Xenopus tropicalis: one gene and its partner. The protein of the gene in region 2 purifies or fractionates together with the protein of the main gene of each other region. This does not show direct contact. Links are inferred from orthologs where the notes say so. Each region holds a gene or a part of one and is shown on either strand. Other genes may lie near its edges.

Evidence for each region. Proteins that work in one complex are often made in the same cells at the same time.
Region 1: the proteins of rpp21 (region 2) and rpp40 purify together in Homo sapiens (co-immunoprecipitation; 3 studies listed by BioGRID and IntAct, counting the BioPlex papers as one, with this or other methods). This does not show direct contact. The link is inferred for Xenopus tropicalis from reciprocal best matches to the Homo sapiens genes RPP21 and RPP40.

What each region holds. Positions count from the first base shown.
Region 1 is NC_030682.2:88,075,901-88,081,870, forward strand, and holds part of rpp40 (ribonuclease P protein subunit p40), read right to left. Parts: intron 3,656-5,970; coding exon 3,587-3,655; intron 1,747-3,586; coding exon 1,651-1,746; intron 306-1,650; coding exon 180-305; intron 1-179. UniProt on the Homo sapiens protein: Component of ribonuclease P, a ribonucleoprotein complex that generates mature tRNA molecules by cleaving their 5'-ends. Also a component of the MRP ribonuclease complex, which cleaves pre-rRNA sequences.
Region 2 is NC_030678.2:105,111,175-105,117,818, forward strand, and holds the start of rpp21 (ribonuclease P protein subunit p21), read right to left. Parts: upstream 3,564-6,644; 5' UTR 3,462-3,563; exon of another isoform or gene 3,348-3,461; intron 2,443-3,347; 5' UTR 2,439-2,442; coding exon 2,382-2,438; intron 1,311-2,381; coding exon 1,210-1,310; intron 796-1,209; coding exon 713-795; intron 1-712. Other genes in the region: zbtb11 (zinc finger and BTB domain-containing protein 11), read left to right, coding at 3,913-4,222. UniProt on the Homo sapiens protein: Component of ribonuclease P, a ribonucleoprotein complex that generates mature tRNA molecules by cleaving their 5'-ends.

The DNA.
Region 1 (5,970 bases), on a different chromosome or scaffold from region 2:
CCAAGTTTTAATATGAAATGCAACACCATTTCCAGCGAGAATTTTTTTGAGTGTACTGTAAGTCATTTTCATTGCACTACACCATTAACTCATTCAGGAGCTAAGGTCTGTGTCTGTAAGTAAACCAAAATAATGTACTGTAAATAAAGGGTGTACATTGTAAGATTCATCAAAACTACCTGTGTTATCCCAAGCTAGGAGAAAGTCACATTTTAAAGGTTTCTTTTCAGTAAATGCCCAGTTTAGACGCTGAAATTTCTTGCCACCAGGAGCTAGACCTTCTTCAGTTAGGTCAATTTTAATAACTGTAAAAAAAAAATTTGTTTTGAATATGCAGTTATCTTTTTAAAGAAATATATGCTCTCTGACACTGTCCTTAAAAAGGAATCATTGCTATTATGAAAAAAAAACACCAAAACTATAGTGGAAGTTTTTAATTTTAATCCTTTTCTTATAGCTGTTTATATATTTAACAGCTTATTTAGATTTTCTCAACATGACTTTTTCTTACAGCTGCAAAAACACATCACCTCTAAAGGTGCCCGTTATGATCTAAGTGTTGCCAACAAGGCCAAACAATCAGATTGGCTCAAAATGTAGGTGGCCAAATCAGGCAAAGATCCACTCAATTGGCAACCTTGCCAAACAAGCACATCTTAAAGGACAAGGAAAGTCAAAATCTATTAAGCACACTATTAAATAGTACTACTATTGCTGTGTAAAAACGCTATATTTCTGGCTTGCCTAATAAAAGATTTACAGAGATACACATACTAGAAACTACATAGTTGTTTCAGTGAACGGCGCCGCCATCTTGTCCAGCATGTCTGTATGGGCCATTCCACCCCCCCCGCTGAGATCCCCGCACCTACCGGCTCACAAACCCCCAGACCCCACCCCGCTACGATCGCCTCAGCTACCGGCTCACAAACGCCCTCCCCCCGTTCCGATTCCTGCATCTGCCGCCTGCCAGCTCACACAAACCCCCCCTCCCCCCGCTCTGATCCCCGCCCTGCCGTCTGCCGGTGTGCATGCCACAGAATAGCACTTATAGGGGTGTTGCTGAAAAGCACAAAACCAGTCCCCCCCCCTTGCACAGTAATAAACAATGCTTTCGGTCTCCAATAGAGAGGCGCTTAGAATATCATGAAGTCGGGATAACAAGTCCTAAGGACAAAAGTCTAGCTAAAAGATACTACAAGATTTTGGCAAGCTTCATGTCATGCAATTGACAATATGTTGTCTTCATACACAGCTCCAGCCTATGAAACCATTCTAATGTGCTCCATGATATCAGCTGGACATGAGAAAAAGTATCAACGGTGCCACCTTGAAGGCAGAATATAATTTAATTTGCTGTGCATGGCACAGAACAGCACTTATGGGGGTTGAGATTAACTCTTACTAGCCTTTCCTTCTCCTTTAAGATGAATGGCATACTATATCAGCACCCCAGGGAATTCACATTTCCTTGTCCTTTAAGCACGATTAAGAATAAAACTTAATAATGAGGGCAGTCGTATATTTTCCCTATCTACTGCAACAAATTGCCAGAAAAACACATATGTGCTGACATGCACTAATATGTATTTTACAATTACTTAAAAAACAGTAACAGAAAAACTATAAAGATAAGAATAAAATACTTACTGTATCGCAGAGGGTTTTTACCAGAATAAAGGGATGGTTTGCCTTGAAGACCCAGTTCCTCATAGGTGTCTTTGTCTACTGATAAAATTAGCTTTCCTATGGAAATCAAAAATAGAGCTCTTTAACCAATTGGCCTCCTTTAATATCTACCAAGTTGCTATTCCCACTGAAAGAGTGAGCTGCCATAAATTTCCAATTTTCATTTTTTTTCAAACAAGCTGGGTGCATTTACCAACTACAACACCATCCTCAATCCCCTTCTGACCCTGTCAAGCATTTTAGAAGTCCAAATGTGCTCCTCCAGAAGATAAAACACTGCAACTTAAATAAGGATAGCTAAACTATAAAAATGAATATGGGAAAAAATCCTATATTTTAAATACTGTACTTACTGCACCAGCCTTAAGTTTCAGGACCTCACTAGCTAAACTTGTCACAGGAGCTCCCCATCTTGAAAAGTGTCTGTGACACTCACATGCTCAGTGTGCCCTGAGCAACTGTTGAGAAGGTAAGCTTAAGGGTTTGTTGCAAACTACCAAACAGAATATGATGTTTGTCTGTCATATAAGCTGATGCTACAGGGCTGATTATTAAAGTCTGATGCTCCTTGTATCTGTATTAATTACTAATTAGCCTTATATTGTGACATTTATATTCTGTATGTACAGATGTACATATGTAAGCCACTGAGGTCATCTAAAGATGCACAGATCTTCCATGCTAAAGAGCTGTGGTTGTCTTGGGTTGGTATAGAAGCCCAAAATATAATGTACAACATTTTTGCCCTTCTTCTTTAGTTAGGCTTTAGTTCTCATTTAACTCAAGAAAGGGTCTGAGAAAAAAAATCTAAATACCATAACCTGAAAAACTGCATTCCTAAAAGCCAAAACCATCAATTTATTTCACAGATAATTAATACATTTTTTGCTAATGATCTTTGGCCTAAGCTGACTGATATCTTACCAGCGGCCACACACATATGGCTATAATCCCACTGGTCATCAGGCCAGAACAATTATAACTGAAGAAAGCAAACAAGAACTTTGGTTCTTCCTCATTTGCAAATGCACCACATACTTAAAGGACAAGGAAAGTCAAAATCTATTAAGCACACTATTAAATAGTACTACTATTGCTGTGTAAAAACGCTATATTTCTGGCTTGCCTAATGAAAGATTTACAGAGATTCACATACTAGAAACTACATAGTTGTTTCAGTGAACGGTGCCGCCATCTTGTCCAGCACCTGCCGGCTCACAACCCCCCCTCCTTCCTGCTCTGATTGCACTTGGCGGCTCACAACCACCGGCCGCCACCCCCCCTCCAAAAATGCACTTTTATATTGCACCCTGATCTCCCTTCATATTTTTGCCTGCATTTGTCTCCCCCTTCTGCCACAACCTACCACCCCCCCTCCCGCTCCTGTGTCCTCTTCTGGGTCGCCATGGCAACCAGATGTTCTGCTGTGTGCGCATGTGCAAGCTAAGGATCTGGTCGTAGTGTCAGTGCAGGAGCGAGGCATTATGGGAATCTTCTCTACACAGCTCAGCGTTTATTTTTCCTGTTTGGCTTCTGATCTTCTGAACAGGTGAAATATGGGGAGAGAACTGAAGGTATGCCTGCAGCTTGAGATTAACTCTTTACTAGCCTTTCCTTCTCCTTTAACTGCATGGTGCATCAGAGGACTGAAAAATTGGTTAACACAACAGAACATCTATGCCTGTCAAAAAAACTTTCCTATGACCTGTCTGAAATCAGCAGATCCAATCTGTATGGCCAGCTTTTTTAAATAATTCACTTCTGGTGCTGTAACTTATTATTTATCTTGTGCTATTTGTAAGGAAATAAAAATACAAGACATATATACATATATAGACATGTCACACAAATTTTCTCCTGGGGGAATTTCGACAATTAAAAGACGCAGAAACATTACCTGTTGGCAACAGTGCTGCACTATTATCTTGGTCAATCCTTGTTCTATATGTAAGTGCATAGAATGCCCCTGTAAAAAAAACAAATAAGATTTACAAACACTTTTAGATTTCAACAAATTATTTTTGGGTCTGTAATAATGTTTCATTGTGGAAAATGTTTGTACAAATCTTTTCTTTTTGAACATAAGCTATGAGGAGCAATAATTCAGACAAGAGATAGAGCTTAAAGGAGAAGGAAAGGCTAATAAAGAGTTAATCTCAAGCTGCAGGCATACCTTCAGTTCTTCAAATAGTGACCTTAAATCTCCCCATACAGATGATCAGAAGCCAAACAGGAAGAAAAAACACTGAGCTGTGTAAAGAAAGTTCACATAATGCTTCGCTCCTGCACAGACACCCAGACCAAGTGAACATGCTCAGTTAGTTAGACTATGGGGCACATTTACTAATCCACGAACGTCCGAAAAGCGTCCGAATGCGGTTTTTTCGTAATGATCGGTATTTTGCGATTTTTTCGTAAATTGTTGCGACTTTTTCGTAGCCGTTACGACTTTTTCGTAGCGTTGCGACTTGCGCGAATTGTCGCACCGAGTACAAAAGCTTTGGATTCATTCAAGCTTCAGTATCGTGACTTTCCTTGGGCCAGGTTGGAGCTACAGAGTGCCATTGAGTCCTATGGGAGGCTTCCAAAATCATGCAAAGTCTGAAAGGTTTGCCCGCCATTTACGAGCGCTCAATAAGAAAAAGTTGCAACAATATACGAGCAAGTCGTAACGGCTACGAAAAAGTCGCGACAATTCGCGCAAGTCGTAACGGCTACGAAAAAGTTGTAACGGCGACAAAAAAAATCGCAAAAAATACGAAAAAGTCACAAAATGTTAGTTTCCAATCCAAATTTTTCCCATTCGGATTCATGGATTAGTAAATGTGCCCCTATGAGTCAGCTTCCTGACTCTCCTGCAGGAGAGAGGAGACAGCAGAGAGCTGCGTGTCTGTCACATGAAATACAGACACAAGAAATCTTTTCACAGAGAAGTCAGTGCAGCATTTCTGTGAGTGCTTATGGCTGTATTTACATAGACCTTTCTGATAAAGCTCACTTAGTTTTTTACCTTTCCTTCTCCTTTAACTCTGCTGCTCCACTGCTCAACGCAGTCGAACACATTTTGGTTTGATAAATACATTAGTTTGCTGAAAATATTCCTGGTAAGAAAGCTTTGACACATAGTTTTTTGCAATTTGTCTGCAAAAGTAAAAATATTTTGGCTTTAAAGGAGAAGGAAAGGCTAAGCCAAAATGTTAGGCACCCCCAAGTGACTTTATTCGCCTACATTGTACCATGGGCTGGTGCCTGATAGGAGAAAACAGCACCAGCCCGGGGTACCTGTAGTGAGCGCATCCTTCTTCCACAGCGAAATCCCTGGGCCGGCGCATGTGCATTAGAGTGAAAAGCTGCAGGTACGCTGCAGGTACCCCGGGCTGGTGCTATTTTCTCCTAACAGGGGCACCAGCCCGGGGTACAAGGTAAGCGATTAAAGTCACTTGGGGGTGCCTAACATTTTGGCACCCCCAAGTGACTTAGGCTTTCCTTCTCCTTGAAATGAATATTTTATTTAATATATAGTTTTTATAGATTGTATATACAGTGGTGTGAAAAACTATTTTTTTACTGATTTCTTATTCTTTTGCATGTTTGTCACACTTAAATGTTTCTGCTCATCAAAAACCGTTAACTATTAGTCAAAGATAACATAATTGAACACAAAATGCAGTTTTTAAATGAAGGTTTACGTTATTAAGGGAGAAAAAAAACTCCAAATCTACATGGCCCTGTGTGAAAAAGTGATTGCCCCCCTTGTTAAAAAATAACTTAACTGTGGTTTATCACACCTGAGTTCAATTTCTGTAGTCACCCCCAGGCCTGATTACTGCCACACCTGTTTCAATCAAGAAATCACTTAAATAGGAGCTACCTGGCACAGAGAAGTAGACCAAAAGCACCTCAAAAGCTAGACATCATGCCAAGATCCAAAAGAAATTCAGGAATAAATGAGAACAAAAGTAATTGAGATCTATCAGTCTGGTAAAGGTTATAAAGCCATTTCTAAAGCTTTGGGACTCCAGCGAACCACAGTGAGAGCCATTATCCACAAATGGCAAAAACATGGAACAGTGGTGAACCTTCCCAGGAGTGGCCGGCCGACCAAAATTACCCCAAGAGCGCAGAGACAACTCATCCGAGAGGCCACAAAAGACCCCAGGACAAAATCTAAAGAACTGCAGGCCTCACTTGCCTCAATTAAGGTCAGTGTTCACGACTCCACCATAAGAAAGAGACTGGGCAAAAACGGCCTGCATGGCAGATTTCCAAGGTGCAAACCAC
Region 2 (6,644 bases):
TTATCCTATATAGAAAGAATTTCAGTGGCATATTGCAATGGATCATACATCAAAGCAACTCTAAAGTAAATTTACTGCTTTCCACTGGTATTCTGCTTTTAATGGATTTTAATTTTATTTACTAAATTTGCCCTTAAAGAAACAGTAACACCAAAAAATGAAAGAGCTTTAAAGTAATAAAAATATAATGTCCTGTTGCCCTGCACTGGTAAAACTGGTGTGTTTGCTACAGTAACACTACTATCATTTATATAATAAGCTGCTGTGCAGCCACGGGGGCAGCCATTCAAGCTGGAAAAAAGGAGAAAAGGCACAGGTTACATAACAGATAACAGATAAGTTCTGTAGAATACAATAGTGTTTTATCTGTTATCTGCTATGTGCCTGTGCCTTTTCTCCTTTGAATGGCTGCCCCCATTGCTACACAGCAGCTTATTTATATAAATTATAGTAGACTTTATGAAGTAAACACACAACTTTTACCAGTGCAGGGCAGCAGCACATTATATTTTAGTTACTTTTATACACTTTCATTTTTTGGTGTTACTGTTCCTTTAACAGAGAATGGCTTTAGTGAAATGTGGTGATATCTAAGAAAACTGTTGGTAACTAGCTCTAATCTTTTTATTATTCATTTGCTATGATTATTACTATGATTTGGAACTAGTTAGTTAACTCAATATTAATAAGTAACTAAGCAGATTTTACTTACTTTTTTGTCGCACTGTTGAAGTCACACCAGATATAAGTAGAGAGCTGCATTTTTTACAAATAGTTCTTTTGACAGATGGGTCCCTATAAAAAGATATATATCTAAAAAGCAACTCTAATTTCACACTTTGATAAATCTGCCCTAAGTGGCTGAATCCTAAACAAAGTACTGGATTTGGTGCATAAAACTGATTTATAACATTATAGTGAAAATTTTTGCATCTATTATGCCCATAAAGATGAGGATGCAACTTGCACATTTACCAACAGGCTCAAATCTTTTGCCTCTATTTTTCCATTATTTACACCTAGTGCAGGTACAAAGTACACTGTACACAAACTTTCAGCAGACATAAAAGGATTAGAAAAAAACCCATTGTTTTCTTATGGCAAAAAACAAGCAAATTGTGTTTTTTTTTTTTTAGTACTTAGCACCTCTAGTATGGCACACAGACCAGTGTAATATAATTAAAAAAAAAAAAAAAAAAAGAAACTTACTGTCTCAACACCAATCGTTTGCTAATCATTCTTTCAGTATGGCAGTAAAATCTAGCCAGCTCTACATTTTCTGGGTTTTGAGCCAAAACGCAATGTGCAGCCTTGGGAAATGAACAAAAAAATGTACATAGAATTTCATTTTTAAAGGGCAAAAATGCTATCTATAATACTTATAACTTACATTCGATGTAGCTGTAAAACCACATATAAAATTTTGTATTATGAAAACATCGTTCCAATATAGCTTAATAACATATTGCCTTATTTTTTTAAATTTTAACAGAGAAGGAAAGGTATAAACTAAGCAAGCTTTATCATAAGCACTTACAGAACTGCTGCTCTGAATCCTCAGTGAAAATAAACACATTTATTTCCTTTTATTCTGTATACATGTTTGCTCCTCTATCTTCCTCCCTTCTCCTCCTACCCCTCCTCTGTCTGTTTTGTAATCTAAGCTTAGAGCTGTTGCGGGAGCAGTGTGCAGCTAGGAAAGTGAAGTCAAACCAAGCTAAAATAGCAGCTGATATCCAAATAGAGGGAGCTTCTATGGTAAAGCTTTCTGCAGAATAAATATAGTCACTATAGTGCAAGCTAGAACACTAATCTATTGGCTATAAAATGCCAAAATGCATTTCCTTCTCATTAAACATTGCTTGTAATGGTAATTTAAAGCAGTATTTGTCTGTGCTATGCTATTCTCTGCACTGCTGGTTCTGACTACATGTACCACTAAAACAATGTAGCACTGTTTAGCACCCTACCAGGTAAGACTTTATTCCTCTCAATGCCTTGAACATTTCTAAGTTTCCCCTTCTTAACATTTATTTTAAAAATTTCCTGGTTTTATTTGTAAATGTAATAGCTATTTAAAACAGTATCTGTCTGACTTTTCTTTGGTCTTGACTACTGCTCCAGCCAAAACTCAAATTAACAGAATACTTTGCAGGTTTTGTGCATAACAGACCTGTGGAGAAAGATGGAGGTGATTTCTAATAGATTGTTTCATTTACAAATAAATGTAAAATGACTCAAAATGTTTAATACATTTAAAAAAAAAAACAAATTAAAAACTACTTCAAACAGAAAATGCAGGCTGGCTTGATGTCCTGTTTATCTATATAGTTCCATCTACTGGCACTGCATGTCCCGTTATCTGAAATTATTTACTTTACCTGGTATAGAAAATTAAGTCTCTGAAAAGCTTCTTTGTCTTTAATTTGTGTTGTCATTTTTCTGTGGATTGCAAAACAATAAAGAATTTTCAGTTCTGTGAACTAAATGTTGTGTGAATGCTTCTGTGACAATGGCCCACAAGTGTCAAAACAATTGCATCATTTTATTTGATGATAATATGCACATGTACATTTATAAACACCCACAACATAACCTCACTTGGGAAAAAAATCCTTCATTTTATTTCTCATCTCTCTTAAAATGCTAAAGAGAAAACATTCTTTCCAAATGCAGCAGAACCCTAATTTTATGGTTTTCAGGAGCACCAAAAAAATGGTGTCAAATCCAGGAAAATTAAAAATCAGGGCTTCATATTAAAACTTATTATGTTTTTTATATTGGTGGGACCACAAAAAACAGTGTAAAATGAGGGAAAACTTAAATCTAGGGTATGATTAAGGTTTCACTGTATAAGGTTTAAAAATTGTTCTCTGTGCAATCCACACAGAATTTTGCATATACTGGAGATATCCCAACTATAGACAGAATAAAACATTATTTAGCCATTCTTTCTATATAATAAAGGTCCACTCTCCCAACAACATGGCACATATCGATTGATCATATCACCCACAGAACAAGTGTTATCATGTAATATTTTTTACTATTCAGATATACACACTGCACAAAGTTTTCATATAAACATGCAACTGGATTGCTGCCTAAATTTCATCCAACAATCATTCATTTATTTATTATGTAACATTTGACTGGATATATTCTGCTTTAAACCAGTCTAGGAAGTAACTGATGGAGAAGAATTTTAATAAGGATTTTAGCTTGTGATTTGTAAAGGTAATGGACCTTTCGTTATCTAACAGTCTGTTAGCCCAGCTGTAGATGTACATAGATCCAAGCTTTAGCGTAAACCTAACTGAAGAAGCGCTACAGTCTTCCCAACCCACCTTACTATAGTACACCATTTTCCAGAGATAAGTAAAATGTGTAATCTCCAAGAAGCAGCAGATTTCTATTGAGCTTTAGAATTAAATACGTTGCATATCTATCCCACGACTGACCTGCACCGTTCAATCGCCTTAAAGCGGAGGAATGATTTGATCCCTTCCCACTTGCACCTAACCTAATCGGTTTATATTTGCAGCTTTGAAATTCACTACGAACAAGATACAAATGGGCAAAACCCAGTAACTTCCGGTTTAATGCTGAAGGAAAGCAACTTCCTGTCACTGGCAGCTCTTGCTTCGCTCCGATTCCAAACATCTCTCCTTATGGTCATATGTCACTTCCGCTGGTGCAGCAGCCATTTTGTCTTTCTGCGAGGAGTCCATCAGACGTTCCGAGCCTTGCAGTTCCTCGTGTTAATTTTAGATACAAACACTGAACGGGGATAGAGAAGGCAGCGGGACTGAGGAGCCCCCACCCGGAGTGCAACGGGTGGGCCGGGGGAGGGCGCGCTTGAGCCGAGGAAGGTGTTTCTCAGTAAATTTATCTAAATAGTCCCTACCAGGGATGTCTAACGAGGAGAGCTACCTGGCGATACTGCGATACCTGACCAATGAGCGGGAGCCTTATGCCCCGGGCACAGAGGGGAACGCTAAGCGGAAGATCCGTAAGGCAGCTGCTTGTTATGTGGTGAGGGCGGGCACTCTTTATTACCAGCGCAAGCTAAGGGATAAAGAAGGATTCACCGAGCTGGAAGTCGTGTTACAACCTGAGCGCAGGAAGGGGCTGATAGAAGCGGCGCACATAGGCACCGGAGGGGAGCACCTGACCCGGCATCAAACATGGCATGTCCTGTCACAGACCTACTGGTGGAGAGGTGAGGGCAACTCAGTGTTGCTTACGCTTTTCTAATTTCCACCTTTGTACATCTCCCAGAATCACCCAACATGTAGGTGTGTGGCACCAAGCGTGCAAACCTCCTGCTTCCCAAACACATCTTCTTGTGTAGTTTTACTCCGCATTACTGAGCTACAGCCAACTTGCTCAGCTCTCCTCAAACTGTTTAAAGGGCTAGTTTATCTGGAAATGAACTTTTAATATGTTGTAGCTTTTAAAAGTTTTTGGATTACTTAGCATTTTTTCTTTAAGCTTTACAGTTTGGAATTTCAGCAGCTATCTGGATGCTAGGGACCGAATCACCATAGGAACTAGGCAGTAGTTAACCAGGCAATAGTTCTTTGGTTACTGGAGTCACTGACCTCCATTTGAAATATAGTAAGAGCTAGAAAAGGTAGGTAAATAATTACAAGACTGTTAAAAATGCAGAACAATTAAATAGTTGTTTTAAATAGAACATTCAAACACATAATATATAGCTAACTTAAACGTATATCTAGTATAAATCAATCTAAAGCAACTGGACTTGTTAAGTAATCATTGAAGACGTTTCACTACTCATCCGAGCAGCTTCTTCAGTTCAACTGACTGGTATGGGAAGCATAGCAAACTTGTATATGGAGGAAGTGGAAAGGAAGGCCCTACTCACATTCAATGGAACTACACCAAGTCACTGGTTCAGGTATGTAGATGACACGTGGGTTAAAATCAGATCCAACGAAGTGGCAGCCTTTTCAGAACACATTAACTCAGTGGACGACAACATCAAGTTCACAAGGGAGGATGTCCATGAGAACAAACTTGCTTTTTTGGACTGTTTGATATCCATTCAAGAGGGGGGTATCTTGAAAACAGACGTATACAGGAAACCCACTCATACGGATCAATATCTGTTGTTCGATTCTCACCATCCGCTGGAACACAAACTGGGTGTCATTAGAACTCTACACCACAGGGCGGAAAGTGTAACAACTGATACAGAGTCCAAGGACAAGGAATGTAAACATCTCAGAGGAGCACTGAAAGCTTGTGGCTACCCAGACTGGGCCTTTGTCAAAACAAGAGCAACTAAGCCCAACAGGAACACCAAAAGGAATACCCGTCCTGAGGCAGAGAGAAGGCGCAATATAGTCATCCCATATGTAGCAGGAGTGTCGGAGAAACTCCGGAGAATTTTCAACAAACACCACATCCCTGTGTTTTTCAAACCTGGCAACACACTGAGACAAAAACTTGTACACCCAAAGGATCCAACACCAAAGGAAAAACAAAGCAATGTTGTATACGCAGTCCAGTGTAGCGAGGAGTGCACAGTCCTTTACATTGGTGAGACAAAGCAACTGCTCTCCAAGCTAATGGCTCAGCATAGGAGGGCGAACACTACAGGCCAGGACTCTGCTGTATTTCTACACCTAAAAGACAAGGAACACTCCTTTGAAAATAGCAACGTCCAAATTCTGGACAATGAAGACCGCTGGTTCGAAAGAGGTGTAAAAGAGGCCATTCATGTCAAAGTGGAGAAACCATCCCTAAACAGAGGCGGGGGACTTCGACACCATCTGTCTGCTACATACAATGCTGTTCTAACATCTGTACCCCGGCAGTTTCAGAACTCTTCACACATCCATTCATGCAACTCTAACAAGTAACACCTGCTTTGAAGAGTTGCATGATACTTTGGTAATCCTTTCAAAGTAACTCCACAGCATTCACACCTCTGTGAGTTTCAGATGTCACCTTTCTGAAGAGTTACAAAGTGCCATTGTGATTGGATTAGTGGAAGAGTATATATGCTGAGGACTTCCCATACCAGTCAGTTGAACTGAAGAAGCTGCTCGGATGAGTAGTGAAAGTCTTCAATGATTACTTAACAAGTCCAGTTGCTTTAAATTTATTTATACTAGATATACCATGACCTGGATGAATGAAAATCTTCATAGACAACTTAAACGTACACTACCCCTATAACAAAAAAGCCCAGCATACCTTTCATGGTATCTAGGGGGGTTTGAGGTTTAGTAACAGGCACATGTAAAATCAAGTTATTTGCACTAAATGAGGGTTGTAAATAATTGCTGATGGCTGGGCATCTTTATTAGTATAGTTGGGATGTGTAACTTTGAAATTACTTAATATGATGCACTAATAGTCATTTCTGCTTGAATAACAACTGTTTTCCTTGTAGCCATGTGACTACCTCTTTCATGTAAATAAAACAGGAGGAGGGAGGAGCAGGTGCTGGGGTTTGGCCTAAAAGGCAGTAAGGGCGAGATTTGGGTGGGCCCTGTTTCCCATTGTAAATACTTCTAGAAAGGTTAGTGTGAAGGTCAAAGAGAGTGGGATTTGGGGCTGATGGAAGTGTTGCTGGATGGCTGGAAGTATTGCTGAATGGCTGCTGCAGC